Linked DNA regions of Pelodiscus sinensis. The protein of the gene in region 2 interacts with the protein of the main gene of each other region in a pairwise test. Links are inferred from orthologs where the notes say so. Each region holds a gene or a part of one and is shown on either strand. Other genes may lie near its edges.

Region 1 (7,918 bases), on a different chromosome or scaffold from region 2:
ATATTTTTTCAAATCCTCAGTCCTCAGAAATACCAATGCACACCTAACCTTCATATTTGCATATGTGAATCAGAATATGTATCTGCAACTACTGAATTGTAGCTTTTGTACCTATGGCTCCATACAAGTGCATTTTTATGGCCAAACTTTAGATGCCCAGTTTTGGAAATGTGGTTCTAGTAGATAAGGTTCAGTGAAGATAAATACAACTGCAATGGCTTAATAAAGAGCACATTGTATGCTAGTGTTAAAGGTTGTTGTTGGGGTTTTTTTTTCCACTTTGACATACTGGTCAGGACATTGAGGTCTGCTTATGTGTTGATTTCACTGTAACAAAAGTTACAACTTTTTCTTTCCTCAACCAAAGCTTTAAGCAGTTCCTTATAAGCCTGAAGCTGAGGCCGTAGCTATGTTTTCACAGCTTTTACTGAATTATGGTGTGTAAAGTCCATACAATGCAGTCTTATTATATCAAAAGTAATCTGAAGTATGAACAACCTTCTAATAATATTTGCTTAGTAAGTCATACTGCTGATAACAAACAATCTAAGTCAGATTTCATTGGATTGAATGTTTTCAGCTGTGAATAACTTCTGTCAGAAAATGCATGCTTTAAAAGCTAGCTACTTATTCTAATCTCTTATGAACTAGTTATGCTTTCTCAAAGAGATCTTCTGTGGTACAGCTTTGTTATATGAAAATTGCTAAGAGTAGTTTTAATTTGTGATTTTATTATCAATAATGGCACACAAGCTTTTCAATATAACTGCTTCAGTCCTCTACTTTTCCTGATACATGTATTTTATGAAGGGCAATGGCTGCCTTCTTATCTAATTTCTGGTAGTTTTTCAGTTTGCGTACTATGGGGAACCATTTCTGGTACACAACCACAATAATGAAGTCAAATGCAGTTTCTTTGTTTGGCAGGATTGTTGTTGGGAGCACTTTCTGGTTTGCATTCTTAAGCCTTAATGTATTCCAATCAAGGTAACCATTCAGAGAGCCATATGCAAAAATGATTTTTAGAAAATTAATAATTCTAAAAATGATATGAACAATGACTTTGCTTTTTCTTGTGTTTCTAAATTAATATTGTATTGGGATTCCTCTAGGAAATAGTTAGGTCTAGATTGTGCCTTTAGCCCTCTGTAAAAGATGTGTATAAATGGTACCATGCTAGGACTAGCCTGGAGAGGTACTGTGACTCAGATGAACCTCCTCTGCTTTCCCTTTATTCTCCCCCAATCTTACCCATGGCTTGGCAATTCTCTCAGCCCCCCTGACGGTACTGTGTGTTCAAGTTATAAAGAGATCACTTAGCTGCAATATCATTAAATCTGATTAATATTAGATTTAGCAGTCTTTAGTGATGAAAAAGTGAAATAATTCTCTTCTGTGGTAATGTAATATATTAACATTAATACCAGACAATACTATCAGTATATATTAATTACTCAAATACAATTGGACTTGATTAATCAGAAGAATACAAAAACTAAACTTGGTGACTTCTCCAGATAAAAATCAGTCTTCTAGTTGTGTCAGACTGCCTATTTCTTCCTCTTTCACTCTAGTAAAATGAAATACATTCATAACACAGTAGAAAGAAAGAAAACAACTTTCAGCTCTTAAGTGGAGTCTTAGGTCTAGTAATGTAATGAAGATCCCAAATCACAGATCAAAGACAAACACATTATGGAAACATATACTGAATAGTTATTTGTCTAGAGAAACAAATGCAATATAGTTTTCTAGAAAGAAATGTTTTTTCAGTGAGACTGGAATAATTAACCTTCAATACTGAAAGCATTAGCAATTTTTAAATTATGTATCTGATTAGTAAATCAGTTGGGGATGCCTGCACATATACAGAGTGTTTTGGAAAAATACACTATTATCCTAGGATTAATCATTAAAAGGGTATGAAATTCCTTAACCAGTACAGTTACACACATTCCATATATATAAAGCAGTTTTATAATTTGCTCTCAAAAAGTACTAAGCGCATGTACCATGGTACAACTTTATTAATCTGGCACATTTAATCAACACCATTTCCCATGATTGGTCACATAATTGAGAGTCAGTTTTAATTTCTGAATATTTTTCCTTTTTCAAAATATAAACAAATTGAATATAACTTAAAATATCCCCAACAAAAATAAATACTTACCCATAAAACATGTTTATTGTAACTTGTAACACAAACACACGTCGTTCTTCTAAAAAAAGTTCTGAAGTGTATTATGTATGAAACATAATAAAAAGGCAATATTTATCAATACCATCAGATGATTGAAAAGTTTTGTTTATTTTTAATAAGCTGTGTGACAATGTAGGAATTAAATAGTGATAAAAAGCAGGCAGAATATGAGATTTTAAGACTGTCTTAAATAATTTTTAGGCCAAGTCATGCCAAATTTCTATGCATTCGTTTTGACTCCTTCAGAGGAGAGAGGCATACTTCAGAACTACAAACTTTTACTAAACCAGTACAACAGTCTGCTCTCTTTGATTCTGTAAATAAAACTTCCATTTTTAAGGGTGTTAAGATTTTAAGCTAACAAATTAGTCCAAACTAAAAATGTTTTTCAGGTTGTACTTATTTTGTGAGGATACTTAAATTTGCCCTTTTTTAATGGATTAATGAAAAACTTTATTGTTTAGTGATGGTACAAAATTATGTATCTCTGTTTTATATCTAAATATCATCCATGAACACTCAAATCTCAGAAGTAAATGGTAAGACACATTTTTGTTTTAGAGCTAACATTTTAATGTATGTGAACTGTACAAACAACATTCTTCATTCTCTCATTCAACATATCCACATTTTAGATATCACATAAAAACCTCAGGCCAGATCTATACCTGCATAAAATGGCAGTAAATTGACTACAATAGAGATGCATTTATTCACGCCAGCTGAAGATCTGCGCTACTAACATTCTGTTAAGTTTGAAAGACTTGGCAGAACTGATCATTCTACTTACATAACCTCCACAATACATTTTGGTGTAAGTCTTCAAGTTCAGCAGAGCTCAAAGTAGGATTCACAATACTTAAAATTGCTATAAGTAATGCTTATTACTTTGAAGAGGACTGACTGGAACCACCCAATCAAACTGATACTCTTCTACCAATCACATTTGACTCCCAGGTAACAATGAAGTAGGAGCAACTCTTGGTACTGCACATTCCCAGATTTTACAGATTCACTATGTATACTTAGCCATTAATCATATATGACTAAGCAGGATTATTACGTAAAACAAATAGTATCTTATTGCGCTAATGTGTTGATTTAAGAAACAGAATTTAGCCAATCAAGGAATGAAGTATTAAGCTACAGAAAATACTTACGTTAATGATTGACTTCCAGCCTTAAAATGTCTCTAGCTCATTTTTTCCTATGGCTGAGTCATTTAGTCCAGTATATATTTTATTGACTATTTCCAGCTGGCATGACATGGATGCTGTACTGACTCTACCTAATGTTTGTGTAGTTACCGGGTCAGATCCTCATTTGGTTTAAATTGGCATAGCAGTTGTCATAAAAATGATTAATATTCTAGAAAAAGGGCTAAACAGTGAGATGACAAATATTATACAAAATTACTCCGGTTAGTTTAAATCCAAAGCAAACTGGAAAGAGTTACAAAGGAATCTCACAGAATTGAGTGACTAGGCAACAAAACAGCAGATTAAATTCAATGTTGGTAAATGCAAAGTAATGCACATTAGAAAACCATAATACCAATTATACATAGAAATGATGTGACCTAAGTGAGCTGTTATCACTCAAGAAACAGATCTTGAAGTCACTGTGGTGAATTCTCTAAAAATATCTGTACAATATATAATAGTTGTTAGGGAAGGGGTAGATAAAACAAAAAATATCCTAATGTCATGGAATAAATCCATGTAATTCCCACATCTTGAATACTGTGTAATTTGGCTGCTAAATAAAAGATATATTGGGAAAGATATAGGAAAGAGGAACAAAAGTGATTAAGGGTATGGAATGGCTTCTAAGTGAGGAGATATTGAAATAGACTTTTTTTCAGCTTGAAAAAGAGGCAACTAATCAACAGGGTTATGATAAAGATCTATAAAGTCATGAATGACCTTGGCTATTAGCGAAGATGGTCATAGATACAACCCCCAGCTCTGGGTATCCTTAAGCCTCCAACTGACAGAAGATGCGAGTAGATGACAGAAATGGATCACTTAATAATTGACCTGCTCTGTTCATCCCTCTGAAGCACCTAGCATTGGCTACTGTTGGAAGACAAGATACTGTGCTAGTTGGATCATGATCTTATTGAGCACGTACTTAAAGCAACCTCCACCTTTATTCCCTTTGCTAATAAAATTATTATAATTTATTTACGGTGTCAGGAAATGTGACATTTCCTGAAATATCTTCCTTCATTCCTACTTAAAAGTTTAAAATACAGATGAGAGAACTAAGTGTGCATCCTAGGGTTTTATTAGAAAAGATGCTATTATGGGTTACTACGGCTATGTCTAGATTACAAAGATAAGGTGGAAAAAGATACGCAAATTGCGAACTGCAAGTTGCATATCTTTTTCTGCTTTTCTGTCAAAGTGGCTTTTCTGAATTTTGGCACATCTGCATGGTGTCAAATTTTGGAAAAACCTGCTCTTTAGACACATCCCTTTTTCCTTGTAGAACGAGGTTTACAGGGATGATGGAAGAGTGTCTGCTTTTATTTTTTTTTAAAACAGACCCATTCCTTGGACATGGCATTGCTTTTCTGGTATACCCTGGTGTTCTGGAAAAGCACTGCAGTCTAGACATAGCCTACCAATGTTTCCTCCTTGCTGAGTACTTGGGTGGTCACTCGGGGGAGATTCAAATGCTGCCTGGCTGTTTAACACAGCACCAACAGCTGGCATAGTTGGCAGCATGTGATTCTACTTGTGGTGCACATCTGCATGTGCTTTGGTGCACATGGCAAAATTTATTCTCCGCATGGATGGATAAAATAGAGGGAACATTGGTTTCCACTGTTCTATCTAAAAACCTGCCAAGAGACTTAATTTTATTAAGAGATGTATATTACTTCAAGCTGAAATGAACTAAGAGTCTTAATTGTGTGTTTTTTTTTTTTTAAAAAAAAACCACTTGTATTATTTATAATGCACTTTTGAAAGAGCTGGTTCATTAATTTATTTAGGAGGTGTATTATGGCCTGGTGGATAGATCAATAGATTGGAACTCAGACCACCCAGTGGTCATCCTGGCTCTACTGCTGATCTGAGTGACCTTGGACATTCCTATGCCTTAATGTGCCTGTACGTAAAATGAGGATAATGATACTTGACCCCCTTTTAAAAAAAAAAAAAAAGAGTTTTGAGCTCTACTGATGTAGTATCATTACTATTGTCTATAAACAAACTTGGGATCTATGCTTTTCATTTTTCAAGGATTTTCCACTAGGGAACTTCTCTGGTTTGGGATGGTTTGTAGGATATGAGTGGCTGTGAATGTCAATCCTAACAAAAACCCTCCAAAATATCTGTATATTTCTGTATGCCTATGAAATAGGTAAGGCTTTTTAGCACTGTAGGATAGCGTCATAAGAACTAGCCCTGTATTCTGTCTTTCAACAGTGGCCAGCTCTAAGGGCTTCAGAGAGAATGAACATAACTGGCAATCACAGAGTGATCCATTCCTCATTGTCTTTTCCCAACTTCTGTCAGTGAGAGGCTAGGGACCCCAGGGCATGGGTTTGCATCCCTGGCCATCTTGACCAATAGCCACTGATGAATCTGTATTCCATGAACTTATCTAGTTATGGCCTTTACAACATCCCCTGAAAATGAGTTTCAAAGACTGACTATGCATGTGTGAAGAAGTACTTTTTTGTTTGTTTTTTAAGCCTGATGCCTATTAATTAAAGTTGTCCTTTTCACTTATCATAATAAATAAAACTACTGTCTTATACCACTTTACATTCCTTTACTTCAAGTGCTTTATAATAAATGACTTAGACATTCTATTCCCCATTTTATAGACATTTTATTCCCCATTTCATAAACAAGGAAATTGAACCACTGATAAGTTCAGTGACTTGCCCAGATTCACACAACAAGACAGTGGCAGAACCCAACATAGGTTTCCTGGCTGTCCTCATTTTGGAACAAATATTAGTTTCTCTTTACAGGCTCTGACTTTTTTTTGATTTCTTATTTTGCCATGAAGAGTAAATAAAATGCAGTGTGATTAATGACTAACATTCAGTACAATACAAAATGGATTATGTTTACAATATTTTAATCCTTCAGTGTCAAAATCTGCCATGATAAGGGACTACAGGTCTAAAACAAGAAAACAAAACCAGGACCTGTGGTATGCATGGCACATAATGTAAAGTCCAGACCCATGTGAAAAGGGCATACCTTTGTCGACTACGCCGTGTCTAGACTGCTGTGCTGGATCAGCTGATTGTCAGCACAGCTTGGCGGCCATGTTTATTTTAATGAAGTGGGGATTATTTAAATTCCCACTTTGACTATGCTGAATAAACTGCCAAATAAACTGTCGACAGAGCCATGTAGTCTAGACACACCCTGAGGTTTCCCCTTCCTGTTCCTTTTAAAGGTCCATACATGTTGCAGCTGATTGAGGAGTGTGTTCCTCCCCCAACAATGTTGCCTCCTATCAGAGAGACTAACACTGCCATTTTGCCTTTCAGTGACAGTGAAGGAGGCTGGATTCCCTCCTCCTCTGCCCTGTTTGGTGAATATAAGAACGGCCATACTGGGTTGTACCAAAGGTCCATCTAGCCCAGTAACTTGTCTTCTGACAGTGTCCAACACCAGGTGCCCCAGAGGCAATGAGCAAAACAGGTAATCATCAAGGGTCACTCATTCCCAACTTCTGATAAACAGAGGCTAAGGACACCACTCCTGCCCATCCTATCCTCAGGAGGATCTTCCACTTAGACTCCTCTTTTGCTCTGTCTGATGAAGTTGATAATTAACATATTTAGGATTAGGAATTCAAATTGACATTTTTCTTTTTGGTGCTAATGGGAAGACTGACTAAAACGAACCCGGTGTAATGAATTTCTAAAACTTATAAAAATAATTTAATTAAAATGAGAACTAAAAATAAGTTACATTCTAAAATAGGATTATTTGATATTAATTGTTGTTGTTGTTCGTCCTGATATTAATTACAGAGAAATGAATATCAGTTATTTACATCTATGAAAAACAAAGTGCAAATTGAAGGCATTATAAGCTTCATGTGTTGCTGTAGAGATTTTTCAGAGAACAGAAATGTAATGGCCAAGAAACACACGTGTACTGCTAGCTTTTGTCCAGTCTACAGCAAATATGACAGAGTAATGTGTTACAGGCATGGGACTTTCTCTTTGTATCGCTAAATATACCTTGTAATTTTGTGGGGGAATCAAATATTATGCATCCTGAGCTGGTAAAACTGTAATATTACAACTATGAGGAGGAAGGACAGTGTGAGAATGAGTCATGGGAAGATAAAAGATAGTCAAAGAAGAGCTTAACTCTGCTAAGAAAATAAGAATGGCTATAATGGGTCCGACCAAAGGTTCATTTAGCCCAGTATCCTGTCTTCTGACATGACCACTCCCTCTGGGGCCTCTGGCATTGAACAGAACAGGGAATCATCAAGTGATCCTTCACCTGCCATCCATTTCCAGCCTCTCACAAACAGAGGCTAAGGACACCAATCTTATTCATCCTGGCTAATAGCCATTGATGGACCTAACTGTCAGCCGACGGTCAGGGCAGTGTGTGTGTGTGTGTGTGTGTGTGTGTGTGTGTGTGTGTGTGTGTGTGCTGAGAAAAGGTTTAACGTCCGTGACTTTACTGCTAGGACCGGGGTCCCGTCGCAGAGGGCAGC
Region 2 (7,572 bases):
CTGACTACAGGAAGCCCGAGGCAGAGTTGCTCTGCCCCGGGCTTCCTGGAATCAGCTGCTGATCAGTTTCAGCAGCAGCTGACTTGGGGACGCCTGGGGTTCTTAAGTTGAATCTGTATGTAAGTCAGAACTGGTGTCCAGATTCAGCAGCTGAATCTGGATGCCAGTTCCGACTTACATACAGATTCAACTTAAGAACAAACCTACAGTCCCTATCTTGTACGTAACCCGGGGACTGCCTGTAACCTGCCCCTCCCCCACATAAAAATCCGGGAGACCCAATAGTCAGACTATAGTGTAAACCCTGAGGAAAGAGGTTTAATATGCCTTCCAAAATTCCTGGTAATTAATTACATAAGTTGGATATTTCTGATATCTCTGTAAAAGGGATTGGATATTTAAAATCTTGTTAGGCTCTTTGGCTCATCCAAAGCTCACACCGAAACATGCTGCCTTTCCCCCAAAGATGTAAAAAAAGCAGCTTGTGCCAATGTACATACTCCCTTGTTGACCACAAGACAGTAGCACACAGGTTCCTTCTAACATTAAAGAGAAGAGCCTAGGAGACAAACAGCAAGGTTCTATTTATTAATAGGGCCCTACCAAATACAGAGCCATATAAAATGTATCACAAATCATGAAATCTGGCCTTTTGTGCGCTTCTGCTCTATATCAGGGCTGGCCAACTCGCGGCTCTTTGATTAAGGAAATGCAGCTCCTGCTCCTTCTGAGCTGCGCCCCAGTGCCTGCTCACAGCCGGCCGCTCTGCGCACATTCCCCAGCGCCTGGAGGTAGAAGCGCGTGGCGGCGGCAGCGACGGCTCCGGGATCCAGGCATTAAGTGAGGGAGAGGTGTTTGGGGGACCTGAAGCACTTTAAACTCAAAGTCTTCATGTATGCAGAATAAGGCAGCCAACACAGATGTCATATTTAAATTCCAGGGCAAAAAAAGAATCAGTATCTACCTGGTTTACACTGTTTCTTTAAAGAAAATTGAAAGGCTACTATTTGCCAGGCTGAAGCAATTATTCTGAGATATGAGTCTCTCCCTTATTGTTTTTGAACCTCTCATATTTGCAATCTGGGACAGTCCTGAATTTTTAGCACTATAAAAAAAAGCCATAATCTTCATAAGCAGGGCTTGACAAATAATGCAATCTACTCGCCTGTGGCAAGTATATTGCAACCCGGAAGAGCCGGGTTCGGGCGATCTGCGCATGCGCAGATCGCTGAACAGCGCAGCTGGCGAGTGGGGCTTGCCGCGGTTCGACGAGCCCTGTTCATAAGTAACAAAAATGAGGAAACCTTACCAGACATCACAAGCTGGAGTGAAACAGCCACATCAAATTGTGCTAATTTACTTCTCAGTTCAGTTTAATTTTAAAAACCACACAGGTCATAAAAGGGCAGTAGTGTTAAATTTAATATACATGGTGGGGATTTTTTTTTAAGTGTGCGATTACTGTATTTTTAAAGATTTTTTTTATTTGATATTTGTTCCTTGTCAAGTTCTCTGAAGATTTATGGACTGGCCATGAATTCTTTAAGTAACAAAAAAAAGTGTTTTACGTTTTTTTTGTCCAAAATGTCCTGTAATGTTATTTTTATCACTACATTTTGTGTACTATTATCTATCTATAGATACATAAAAATAAATATATAACACGTGGCTTTTTGCACTCTATCCACAGCTATTTTGGCTCTTCGTCTAACTGGTTGGCCACCCACTCTATACGATACAGATTTCACAGGGGAGACTAGTGTTTCTCAAATTGGGGGAGGGGCCTTACCCAAAAGGCAGTTGCAGAGGGTTCCAAGTTATTTTAGGAGGATCACAGTATTGCCACCCTTCCTTCTGGGCAGCCTTCAGAGCAATGCCATTATAGTAGTAGTTATGTTGGTTGTGTGCCCAGATCTGAAGGCAGCACTCCTCCAGCAGCAGTGCAGAAGGATGGTAACACCACACATGTTGCCCTTCCTTATTTGTGTGCTGCTGCGTTCAGAGCTGGGTGGCCAGAGAATAGCAGCTGCTAACTAAAGGCCCAGCTCTGCAGGCAGCAGTGCAGAAGTAAGGGTAGTGATATATACTATGCCATTTTACTTCTGCACAGCTGTTGCAGAAGCTCTGTCTTCAGAACTGGATTCCTGGCCAGCAGTCACTGCTTTCCATCTGCCCAGCTCTGAAGGCAATGCTACTGCCAGCAGCTGTCCAGAAGCAAGGGTAGGAATATTGCAACCCCCATACAATCTTGCAAAGCGCACACAACTCTTTTTGGGGGGTCAGGACCCCTACAATTGCAGCACCAGATTTAAATATCCCAAATCATGAAATTTACCATTTTTAAAATCCTATGACCGTGAAATTAGCCAAAATGGACCGGGAATTTGGTAGGGCCTTATTTATGAATCATATCGTGGTAATGCCCAGAAAGCCCAATCCGGAGCAGAATTCATTGCACACACCACTATAAAAGTGCACAGCAAAAGGGAGTCCCTGCTCCAGTTTGCTGACAACGATTAAAGCGCAAGGCCTGCTTGTAGGCTGCCTCGTTCCACGTGTGACGGGAGGCGGCGGAGCAGGATCCCAGGCTCGCGCTCTCTTGCAAATGAAAACAAAACGCCCCCGTGCAGGGCGCGCTCACGCTGGGAGGACTCCAGGGGCCACGGGGGAATAAAGGCGCCTGGGGCCCAGCCGCCAGGACTCGGCTCCCCCCGCAGTGCAGCCAGGCGGCCCCGCTGGGAGCAGGAATTGAAGGGGGCGGAGTGGGGGAGGGGAACTGGCCCGGCGTGGGGGCCCCTCCCCCCTCACGGGCCGCCCCAGCTCCTCCCCCTCTCCTCGCCAGACGGCGGCGCGGGCCGAGGCCCTGTCCCTCCCCGCGCCGCCCCCCACCTGCGTCCCGCCGCTCGCTCTCCGCCTCTCGTGGAGCTACTCTCCACACCGTCCCCAACGCACACCGGAAGCGCCCCCTCCGCAGCGCCGTGCGTCTGCCGTCACTTCCGCCGCGGCTCAGGGCCCGCTTCCCGGTCATAGAGTCCGGCGGTTTGGTGAGGGCCAGGCTGGCGCTCTACCCAGCCCCGGGACCATAGACAAGCCGACCTCCCGCAGCCCTGCGCCGCGAAAAAGAAGTCCGCTGTGCGCCTGCGCAAAGCGCCCTGTGTGTGGGCAAGGTGCCGTGTAGTCGGGGCCCTGCTCCCGCAATCGGTGCCCATCGGGCAGCCTGGGGCCCGGGCACGGCGCGCCATGGGGCTGGGCGGGGCCGCGCCCCCTCTGCCCATTGCCCCCAGCCCGAGGGGGCCGTTGGGCCCTTCCCTGCCCTGGGGTGGGCGGCGCCAGGCTGAGCCCCCCCACTCATGGGGGGCTGGGGCAGTCCCCCCCGAGTGGGAACCCCTGGATCTCGTGCGGTGCTCGAGGGCTGCTGCAAGCCCCTGCACTGACTCCAGGGCACAGGTTGAGCTGCTCTGCCTGGGGGGCAGGGAGTTGGTTAGAAACGGGGGGCAGGTGGCCGGGCGATCCAGCCACTGCGGGGTCTTTCCCTCACGGTGAAAACGTTGCCGGAGCGGGTACTCCACTTACAAGACGCGGGGAGGGATGCGTAGGGATGAGTGGTCGGTCTGCTGCTAGGATTTGCCTTTGGACCATTACTGTTAAACGTGTTCTTGAAAGGGGCAAACAGATGGCAAATTTTTCACACACTACAAAATTATTCAAAACAGTTATGCCCAAAGCTGATTGCAAAGAGTTACAAAGGGAGCTCACAAAACTGGGTGACTGGGCAACAACCCAGGCAGATGGAATTTAGTGTTGCTAAATGCAAGAAATGCTCCTAGAAAAATATAATCCCAACTGTACCTACAAAAATGATAGGTAATTGCCTGAAAACATCTGTGCAGTGGTAGTCTTAAAAACTAAATAACAGAAGATTGGGAATCATTAGGAAAGGAACAGATATTTATATAGAGACAATATAATATGAACATTTCATCTCAGTAGGGTGAGTCCCGCTTCAGTGAAAACAAGGACTGAACTGGCTTGGTAGGTTATGGTACATAGCGTCAAAAAAATTCCCTATTGACTTCACTATGTATTGAATAAATATAGCTGCATTCTCTGTATGGAGAGAAAAGACTTGATCTTGTCAAATGGTAACAGTGGGGCTATTGTGGGATACCAGAAGTATCCCAAAATAGCTACCCAGTGTCTTTTTAATGCGCCCACTATTTTGAGCATGTCTGCTATTTCGAGACCTATTTTGGCATCCCTGTAACCCTTGGTCCACAAGGGTTAAGGGATGTCTCGAAATAATGCACTATTTTGACATCTGACATTGTGGAGACACCAAATTTCAAAATTCAATTGAATTTCAAAATAGTGTAATAAACGCTATTTGCGTAGCACAAATTGCATATCTTATTTTGCATTTCGGGTGCTGTGTAGCTGCACCCTTAGTGAGGACTGCAAAATTCCCATTGATTTGACTGGTAAGATAGTTCCTACAGTGAGGTAACAGTTGGTGGATTTCAGAATAGAGAATCTGAGTGTTTAAAATCAGACCCAGGCTACAATCAAGAGCATCCCATGCTAATGTTTATTTCAGACATTGTCTACATGAGATTCTTAACTATGTTTTATCAGTTAAATGAAACTGTTCTGTACAGATCACATTTCAGCCAGGTACAATATAAGCATGCAGTGAGCATTGATACACTTTGTATTTGTAGTGGTGATAACAGCATTCTGGGTGCACATATGAAATGCTGCAGAGATTGTCAGTATAAAGGTGCCCCTTACTGTCCCTCCTACCCTTCACCTTTTACAGACTGAACATCTACATTGGTTACAAATGCTCTCGAACAACTAGTTTTAAAGAGCTGCAATACAGTTTGCAGGTAAATAAGGTCTTTTGGGTTTCCCCTCACTGTCTGCCTTCTGTTTTCACCCATTTTAACTTGCAACTTTGAAGAAGTTTGTCAAACTACTGGACCTGGTCTAGTAGGACCTCTAATTCATGTATAACAGTATCAGGTTGTTTACCAGGGGTTATTGAAGTAGCCCTAAAAAATTCCAAGTATTAAAGGAAATGCTCAAATCCCAGCACTTTCATGTTTCATACAAGTGGAGCATGTTCTATTAGTCTAACATATTTCAGGGAGAGGGCTACCATGAGGCCATGTCTACACTAGGAAATGATTTTGAAATAACTACATTCAATTTAACTCCCAAAATAACAAAATCAAAATAGCATGTCCTCACTACAGGAAAGCCTCGAAGTTAGTCCGAGGCAGGCTCCCTTAATGTGGACGTGCTACCTTGACTTAGAGCCCCAGGAAGCACTGGGGAGTAATTAGTCTGAATGCCTCTGGGGGGGGTCGTTATTTCAAATAGTGGCACCGGAGCATCCACACTACCGCTATTTCAAAAATAACGATTTTGAAATTCACATTACTCCTCAAGGAAAGCAGGAGTCCAGATTTCAAAATAAGTGGCCTGTGATTTCGAAATAACAGGCTCGGTAGTGTGGATGCTCCACTTATTAGTTTGACCCTAGTGGAGTTATTTCAAAATAAAGCCCTCGTGTAGACCAGGGGCAGATTTAGATGGCCAGCCACAAACCGGGTGAAATTCCCCCCCTACAACACTGAAGTTCACACGAGTCTTCAAAATAGGATTTAAGCAGTGCATGGGTATGAGCTAGCTTTCTGCAAAGAATGCAAGTTTCACTATTCCTAGACTAAAAGTTGTTCAACCCCAGCCATTTGAGAGACTGGGGTTATGTTTCTCCTCAAAACTTTTAGTCTATGAGAGGATACAGAATGGTTGTAACGTGTGCTCCAATTACAGGTTGTACATCAAATTCTATATTTCATATCGATTTTGCCGCCACAGCTAGCTAGTTAATTTCAGCGACAAACTTGGGCCAAAATTGCTTATTCTAAACTAAGGCACACAATAAAACCCAGGGCTGTGTCTACACTGGCCACTTTTTCCGGAAGATCAGCTGCTTTTCCGGAAAAACTTGCCAGCTGTCTACACTGGCCGCTTGAATTTCCGCAAAAGCACTGAGTTCCTACTGTAAGAAATCAGTGCATTTTGCGGAAATACTATGCTGCTCCCGTTCGGGCAAAAGTCCCTTTTGCGCAAAAGGGCCAGTGTAGACTGCTGAGATTTGTTTTGCGCAAAAAAAGCCCCGATCATGAAAATGGCGATCGGGGTTTTTTTGCACAAAAGCATGTCTAGATTGGCCACGGACGCTTTTCCGCAAAAAGTGCTTTTGCGGAAAAGCGTCCGTGCCAATCTAGATGCTCTTTTCCGAAAATGCTTTTAACGGAAAAATTTTCCGTTAAAAGCATTTCCGGAAAATCATGCCAGTCTAGACGTAGCCCAGGTGTCCATCATAAAAGGCCTGCACCTCAGGGACATCCAGAGCAGTTTTGCAGAGAACTCAGCATCAAACCTCACAAGATCAGTAGCTACCTGATCAAAATATATCTGCGAAGTCTGTTGTTTCTGCAGGTAAGCATGATGGCACTAACTAGGTGACATATCGGGTAGCCCCACACGGCATGCTCCTCAGAGTACACGGGGCAGGCTTGGTCAGTTTGCAATACACTCTTGGAAGGCCAGCAGACGGCAGTAGCAAGTGCAAGTCAGATAGGACCCAACCGCCACTGTGTCAGTTCAGATGCAGAGTCAACACAGCCTGTGATATCTGACGCTCTAGGGCATGTCAGCCCTAACATAGCATTGGGGGGGTGATTTCCACAAGCCAAAATACTGTGATGTGGCATCTCCCCATCCCCTTGTCCTAGCTGGAAGGCCAGGGAGCTCACTCAGAGCTCTTCACCTCAAAGCGCTGCTGAATCTGGAAGTGCTCACACCTCTTGTGCTTCATGGTCAGTCCGTACTGAGGCGTTATGTCCGCCTTCTCCCCATCACGTATGCTGAACTCCAGTTGCTGAAGCAGGGTGGTCAGGAAGAGGAAGATCTCCCACTTGCCAATGTTCTCCCCAATGCACCTCCTCTTCCCCAGGCCGAATGTCATCACTTTCTCGCTCTCGGCCCGGTTGACCTCCATCCCGTCAATGGTGAGGAAACGCTCGGGGCTGAAGGTGGAAGGATCTTTCCAAAGCTTCCTAAAAAACAGAAGGAGAAGACAGCAATTGTACCACCTCTGAAGGACTAGCAGGCATTTCAGCACAGTCCTCATCAGAGTAGATGCCTGATATGTGACAATGGTTTTCAACCTCACTGTTATCAGTCAAGTGCGCCCTTATTTTGAACACTGCAACTGCAACCAAGCCATTTTATCTTCTTGGCCTTCTGCAACACAGGCTGTGTCTAGACTGGCATGATTTTCCAGAAATGCTTAATGGAAGAATTTCCCGTTAAAAGCATTTTCGGAACAGAGCATCTAGATTGGAAGGACGCTTTTTCTGCAAAAAGTGCTTTTGCAGAAAAGCGTCCGTGCCAATCTAGACGCGCTTTTCCGCAAAAAAGCCCCAATTGCCATTTTCGCCATTGGGGCTTTTGCGGAAAACAAATCTGAGCTGTCTACACTGGCCCTTTTGCGCAAAA
Region 3 (7,643 bases), on a different chromosome or scaffold from region 2:
GAATGCATGTAATCTATAGCAGTGTTTCTCAACCTTTTTTAAAAATAAAGTACCCCTTTTAAAAAAAAATTATAAGTACCCCCAGTACCTACAGTTTTCAAGCACACACATTTTTTTTCTACCACTGCAACACATTTGTTTAAACAACTTAATCGTAGCTGGGTGGGCAATGAAATTTTTGGATGAAAAAAGTACAAAAATAATAAAGCACTGTAAAACTTGAAACAAAAATTCAGTTTTCTCCAAATTTCAGTTGTGTTGATATACCCCCCCAACTTCTCTTGAGTACCCCTAAGGGTACTCAGACCACTGGTTGAGAAATACTGGTCTACAGCATTAACCTACAAGCTTTTACTTATTGGTTAATTTACTATAGCATTACATCCCTATTGGCAGGGCTCGACAAATCGCTATATCTACTCGCCTGTGGCGAATAGATTTCAGCCGGTCGCCCTGTTCACCGGTGCTGTGCGCATGTGCAGTGCTGGTCTGGCGCTTGCAGGGTGTGGGGCTGGCGAGTAGATCTTGCCGTGGTTCGTCGAGCCCTGCCTATTGGCGATGTTAAATTGCATTTAATCAGTTAATCGACTAGTCGATTAGTTGATAATGGGGGAAAACTGCAGAGCCACAGTGGGAGCTAACCCCCCTGTGGCTCTGCTTTTTAAATTTATGAAGACCTGCCAGGCTCGTAATACACTTAAAAAGTTAAAGCGCGCGCGGGGGGGGGGGGGGGGGGGTACAGGACACAAGCCAGGAATTAGCTGCTTACCAGCTCATGCCCGGTCCCCCACTATGCCTCTGCCTCCCCCAGGAGATGGTGCTAGGGGTGAACCGGCTTTTAAGTTAGCTCCCCCAATGCCAACTCCTGCTCCCAGCCCTCTTGCTGCTTCTCTCTGATAGAGGCAGAAGGGCGGAGGAGGGAAAGCGACTAGTCGAGTCACTGGTCGACTAGTTGCTTACATCCCTAATTCCTATCATTAAAAGCACTCAGGAATATATTAGGAAATCAGTTACCAAAATTAATAAAATAACCTAATTACAATTTTTTAATTTCTATGATTCTCTTCATTTTATTCATTTATTTTCTTCAAGACTGTTACTAAAATGTTGTGTGTGCACTTTCTGAAGAGTTATATGTCTAGGTGCTAAATTTCATTTTAAAACATGAAGTTGGATGTGAATTTCTGGTCAAATATCAGAATTAGTTAAAAAGCCAACTTTGATAAAGTCTAAATTTAATAGTTACATATTAAAGCATTTTTGTATGACTTACCTTCTATACACAAATAAGGTACCTTCTATGTCAGTCTTCTCCTACAAGAGACAGCAATTACATCTATTTTAGTGATATGGTTATTCATACAGTTAGGCAGCTTGCATTCTAACAAAAAAATAACTTTTTTAGTACTTTTCAAAGATGCGTGACATCATAAAACTCAGATTTAATCTCATATTTTCAATGAATTGCTAACTTAAGGCAAATATATAAAATTATACATGCTATCTTGTTGATAATAACATTATTCATTTTTTTAGAGAAATTATACATTTCTCATCACTTTCTTCTCCTAACCAGCTTCACTAGAAAAGTCAAACAAATATATTCTCTGTAGTAACCTCATATTCATGTATAGTAATAAAATTTTACTTTGCAAAAAAAAATTTTAAAAGTATCTTGCAATGACAAATTACAATGAGTTTTTTTGGACAATAGCTACAATAGCTATAAATTGAACACACAGCTATCTATATTTTAATTTCATGCTATGCACTGATATCTTGTTTTATATATTAAAACTTAGCTAAAAAGAAAAAAGCCACATGATTTACCACCTGCAAAATAACTTTGGGTTCAACTGGACTATTCACATTACTTAAGTTTTTGCAGGAATAAGATCTCAGAGACCTCGCATGTAACTGCAAACCTCTGTGTCTGACAAGATGTTTTAAAACCTCTTTACATTCATATTAACTTTTTTTTTTTTAGAAATGTAGTGTATATTGATGGTCTTTATTTTCAAAACTGTAGAAAAAGAAAGATATTCTTGAAATTAATCGGAAATTTTATTTCAGAAGAGCAGTCAGTACCAATATTTCTAAAATCCCATACTTTTTGAACTTCAAAATTATCAGCAGGTGGAAAGTGACAACTAGAAAGGTACATAGATACACACACAAATACAAACCGAAAAAACCCTGCAAACAAACACAATTGAGCGTATAAAGCATGTTAGGCAAAACTACTCTATCTGCTTCAATGATAAAAATCAGTGGGGTAGCTATGTTAGTTCTGTCCACCAAAACGAGAGGTCTTGTTTGGGCATACGCTTTCATGGGCAAAATCCCACTTGGTCATATATATCTGACAAAGTGTTTCGTTGCCACAAAGCTTTTGCTCAAATAACTCTATTAATTTCTGGCGTCGGATTTAAATTGTCTCCTCAAACTAAGAACAGTCCGAGATGCTTGGGAGAGGGAAAAGTGTGAAAATTTCAAACTTGTCAAGAGTCACGGCCCTTACCCCGCAAAGCACAGTCCCACAAGCTGAACGGCCTAACCCCTGGGGGCCTCCCGTCCCAGTGTGTGTATAGGTGGGGGGGGGCGGTTCTGGGGCTGCCACTCCCCACTGCTGCGGGGAGTTTTGGTTTCTCTCGTTAAGGGGACAGTGGCTGCCTCTGCGCGCTGGGGATGGGGAGCGAGCGTGTCGGGGTCTATCCCCGGAAATGGGGGGAGGGCCTGGGCCCAGCTCTCCTCCCCTGGGAGGGCGTGTGGGGGTGTCGGTGTCTCTCCTCTCGGCCCGGGGGAAGGGTCTGCAGCGCTCCTGGGGGAAGGCAGCAGGCCCCGGCTCCCCACTTACCCACTCGTTGGCTTTGGGGCTGAAGCTGTAGAGCGCGACCTGGCCGGTCACGTCGGCGATGCTGGTGATGTAGGGATCGTTCCGCTTTAAGACCGCCAGGCTCATCTCCTGCCCCGCTTTACTCAGCGACTCCATCTTGGATCCCGGGAGGAACCGGAGGGGGTGGGGGAAGGGAGCGAGGACCACGGCGTCACGTGTGCAGCCTTCCGTGTTCTCGCCCGGGCACGGCGGCCTCCGCGCCGTCCGTTCCGCCCTGCTGCCGCTGCGCCCTGGGTTCTGGCTGCGGCTGCCCGGGTAGCGGTCGGGGAGTCGGTTACCTCCCGCCCGCAGCTCCCAAGAAGGGACTGTGCCGGGGGACCCCGGCCCCTCGGAAAGGCATCGCCCTGGGCGTAGTCCTGAAGGGGAGTAGGTGAGGCTCAGGCCTCCCGAGCAACGAGCCGCCCCCAGCTGGGCAGCCGGAGGATTTGTGCCCTTAGTGCCCTGTCTGCACTTGCTGCAAAGTCCCATGTTAGGTAACAGGGTTTAATCCATTGGAGACAACCTGGGAGAGACTGATACCGTCCCCAGACGCCAGAACCAGCAGCATGTACAATACTGACCTCTCCCAGGAGCAATGCAGGACGTTGCCACCACAGCCTCAAGGATTCCTCCATGCTTGGGCCAACAGAGTCCCACCGTTGGCATGAATCCCTGAGGCTGTACGCTCCATTCCAGTAGATATGTGAGCCTGAAGGCGTGAGGGGCCTCTCTTGGACCTGGCTACCCCACATCTTTGCACAGACTCCTAGCCATGTCTTCGACCCTTTGGCTGGGATTCACCAGCTCCAAACAAGGAACTATTGACAACACAGTGGCATTCAAAAGAAAATGATTGTATGAGGTTGTATTTCAGATTTCCTGTGTGCTAGCTCCAGCTCCAACTAAAGTCTCTCAGCACAGGCCTGCAGGAACTGTACAGGGATTCTTCTTGCTTACCAGGATGGCTTTAGCACTTGGTAATGATGCCTAGTCAAGATGAATCTGCTAGGGTGAAGGAGGAGTTGATGGCTGCCTTAAGGCCTTGTCAATTATGTGAGGGGACAAAGTAAGGCAACAGGCACTTACAGCATGAGCCTTTGTGCCTTGCCTTCCTATTCTGTCCCTAAGCTTGTTTCCCTTGAGCTACTGGTCTAGTGGGGAGATTCACATGTCACTGTTTGGGTCAGTCTTTTGACATCTGGATTATCCATGTGTACAGAAACAAACTCATCAGACTCTCTGCAACCTGGTAAGGTAAAGGTTGTTAAACTATAAATGCTTTATAAAAGTTACATTAGTCATTAAAGAGTCAATGTAGGTGATGTAATTTCTTGTATTCAATCAACCTCTGATGGTGAGAGGGACAAGGTTTTAAGCTACACAGAGCTCTTCATCAGGTCTGGGAAAAATACAATGACGAGCTCTGTGCAGCGGGAAAGTGTGACTCTCACCAACTGAAGTTGGTCCAATAAAAGATATCTCACCAACTTTGTTCCAAATATCCTGGGATAGGGTTGCCAACTCTCAGGGACTGGACAGACCAGAAACCATTGCTGTGAATAGTGTTTGGTCTGTCCAGTTGGGAAGATTAGCAACCCGGCATCAAGAGGGCTATAACAACATTAATCATTGACATATGTGGGTAATGCATCTAACGCATGTAGAAGTGGAGCCTCAGTTTATTTGCTTTGATTAGAGCTGGGCTTGATAGATATTACTGTTTATTGAGATAACCTTACTGAATTAGACCAGTGGTTCAACTAGTCCAATATTATGTCTCTGACAGTAGCCAGAACTCCAAATGTGCTTATCTTAGGTATTTACATGGCTCCCATTACATTAGCATCTGAATGTCTTGCAAACTTTATAATGTATTCAGCCTTATATGCAGGGAACTGTGCAAAATATTCATAACATGATTTGAAAACCTCACTTTTTGGGAGGAGGAGATTGCATTTAATTTGTTCTAAGGGAATGGGCTTTATTAGGTGAAAAACCATCATGGTGGTTTTGACCATGTGGCTAGTCAAAGTTTGGAGCCTTGCCAGTTATTGTAGCTGAGTGTAGAAACTGACAATGGAGAATGGTATTTGTTTTGATGAAATCCTGTTTCTTTACAAGGAATGTGCAAAGTCTTGCCTCTTTCTTGATCCCCAAAACTTGAGAGATGCAGTATTGAAAAGTTCACAAGGTGAACCGTACGACGTTCTTAGGCTATCTGTCTCACAGCTAGCAAACAATATTGCCAGAGTTCTGTTGATACAATTTGTGAGGCAGGTGTACAAACTTGTACCAAATTCTGCTTTTCACTATTCTTGCATGATTCCCATTGGGGGCCAGACTGTAAAGTGCACATGTACTGATGATACACAGAATGGATGAACCTTCTCAAACCTTGCATACTCTTAATAGAATGAGAAACTTATTTGCCAGGTACCCCAGAAGTTTTACATTGCTTCAAAGAGCCTGCTGAGTGGGCTGGCTGCACCAGAAGAACAGGCTCATGCATCTTAATGGATGAACCTGTCAAATATTAAAGGAGGGTCTACACACCGCCTGTGGATACAGAAACTGAAGGTAGGATTGTGCCTTCCCAGGACACAATCTCACCTCAAGCAATCCCTGCCTGGGGCACTATTATTCCACATTGTTCTTTACTCAGGGCTCTGTTTATCCGGTACACTCTAACACCAAGCCATGTCTACATAGCAGCACTATTTCGACTTAAGATATGCAATTGATGTAGCTCAAATTGTGTAGCTTCTTTCGGCATTAGCCCTGTTGTGTAGACGTGCCCCAACTGTGTTAACTTTAACGGGGGCTTCCAAAGGCAAGAAATGGCATCTATAATGAGCAAAAATGCTATATATTGTGAGTTAAAGTGACTGAGTACTATTCTGTCCAATATTAATAGGGGAAAACAGGTACTAAAAAGAGAAGACACAAATTATTTGAAAATTATTTTAAACAAAAAGGGTGCCTAGAAAATGTGTACACAGATTCAAAATCCTTTTGAAGTATGGATCTCAGTGATGATTCTAAGCACTGCAACAAATAGGATGACCCTTGTCTTCATGTCAAGCTTGGACAAGCGTGGTCTAAAGCAAACCTTGCTTTCAAACTACAGGCAGTCCCCGACTTACGTGGATCCGACTTATGTCGGATCCGTAGTTACAAACGGGGCTTTTCTCGCCTCGGAGGACGCGGGCGGCGGGACCGCCCAGATGCGCTGCGGTCCCGCCGCCCGCGTCCTCCAGGGCGAGAAAAGCTGCTCCGCGTCTCCCTGGTCTGCTGGGGAAGTGCCCCCAGCAGACCAGGGAGATGCGGAGCAAAGCCTCGGAGGACGTGTGCGGCGGGACCGCCCAGACGCGCCGCGGTCCCGCTGCCCGGGTCCTCCGCGGCTTTGCTCCGCATCTCCCTGGTCTGCTGGGGGGGGGCCCCCCCAGCAGACCAGAGAGACGCGGAGCAAAGCCGTGGAGGATGTGGGTGGGACCGCGGCGCGTCTCGGTGGTCCCGCCGCCCGCGTCTCCCTGGTCTGCTGGGGGGAGGGGGACGCAGCTAGTGCGCACCCCCCCCCCAGCAGACCAGGCTTTTCTCGCGATGCCTGGGGTAGAGCAGCTGGGGTGCTGCCCGGTTGGTCCCGCAGCGCCGCTCCTCGGCGCTACTGGACCAACCCGCCAGCACCCCAGCTGCTCTGCCCCAGGCGTCCTGATTCAGCCGCTGCTGGTCAGTTTCAGCAGCAGCTGAATCAGGACGCCTGGGGCAGAGCAGCTGGGGTGCTGCTGGGTTGGTCCAGTAGCGCCGAGGAGGGGCGCTACTGGACCAACCCGGCAGCACCCCAGCTGCTCTGCCCCAGGCGTCCCCAAGTCAGCCGCTGCTGAAACTGACCAGCGGCTGACTACAGGAAGCCCGAGGCAGAGTTGCTCTGCCCTGGGCTTCCTGGAATCAGCTGCTGATCAGTTTCAACAGCGGCTGACTTGGGGACACCTGGGGTAGAGCAGCTGGGGTGCTGCCAGGTTGGTCCCCGCAGCGCTGAGGTGCGGCACTGCGGGGACCTACCCGGCAGTGCCCCAGCTGCTCTGTCCCAGGCATCCAGATTCAGCCGCTATTGAAACTGATCAGCGGCTGATTCCAGGAAGCCCAGGGCAGAGCAACTCTGCCTCGGGCTTCCTGTAGTCAGCCGCTGGTCAGTTTCAGCAGCGACTGAATCTGGATGCCAGTTCCGACTTACATACAGATTCAACTTAAGAACAAACCTACAGTCCCTATCTTGTACGTAACCCGGGGACTGCCTGTAATGCAATGAGAAGATCTTGACAAAGTGCAGCCTTCTGCAATGCCAGATCTTCTTTACTGCATCTTGAATTAAAAGTGAAACATGAAGAGCACTGATAATAGAATCAAGTGGGAGTTTTGGTTCGTGGATTGTTGTCCTCCATCATCTTTTACCCCAGTTCAACACTCAAGTGGGTTTGTTCTCCTTGCCCTTGTTCACTGCTCGTGCCTCATTGTGTGATATTTTATATCAGAAATGTATGAATAATGAGTGAAGGCTCTCATCTTCCTCTGCCCTGAAGCACACAGAAGTAAACAGTATGTGCTTAGCCTCAAACTTAGACCTCTGTGTAAATGTTGCATCTCGGTAAGATTGTTCAGTGGCTATTGTATATTGTGAATATCTTTATCCTCTTTTGAGTTATGCAGCAGTTAGTGGGGGAAATATGTTTACCTATCATTCTATACATTCTGTTCATGTACTGATATGGAC

The links.
Region 1: the proteins of EDC3 (region 2) and ANXA10 interact in binary tests that used the Homo sapiens proteins (3 or more experiments, as listed by UniProt). The link is inferred for Pelodiscus sinensis from reciprocal best matches to the Homo sapiens genes EDC3 and ANXA10.
Region 3: the proteins of EDC3 (region 2) and DCP1A interact in binary tests that used the Homo sapiens proteins (3 or more experiments, as listed by UniProt). The two-hybrid records come from large-scale screens. The link is inferred for Pelodiscus sinensis from reciprocal best matches to the Homo sapiens genes EDC3 and DCP1A.

What each region holds. Positions count from the first base shown.
Region 1 is NC_134715.1:65,037,451-65,045,368, reverse strand, and holds the start of ANXA10 (annexin A10), read right to left. Parts: upstream 3,059-7,918; 5' UTR 3,012-3,058; coding exon 2,994-3,011; intron 1-2,993.
Region 2 is NC_134724.1:35,330,334-35,337,905, reverse strand, and holds the start of EDC3 (enhancer of mRNA-decapping protein 3), read right to left. Parts: upstream 3,065-7,572; 5' UTR 2,953-3,064; exon of another isoform or gene 2,890-2,952; intron 1-2,889. Other genes in the region: cytochrome P450 1A5-like, read right to left, coding at 6,824-7,130. UniProt on the Homo sapiens protein: Binds single-stranded RNA. Involved in the process of mRNA degradation and in the positive regulation of mRNA decapping. May play a role in spermiogenesis and oogenesis.
Region 3 is NC_134721.1:30,781,883-30,789,525, reverse strand, and holds the start of DCP1A (mRNA-decapping enzyme 1A), read right to left. Parts: upstream 3,029-7,643; 5' UTR 2,993-3,028; coding exon 2,858-2,992; intron 1,315-2,857; coding exon 1,274-1,314; intron 1-1,273. UniProt on the Homo sapiens protein: Necessary for the degradation of mRNAs, both in normal mRNA turnover and in nonsense-mediated mRNA decay. Removes the 7-methyl guanine cap structure from mRNA molecules, yielding a 5'-phosphorylated mRNA fragment and 7m-GDP.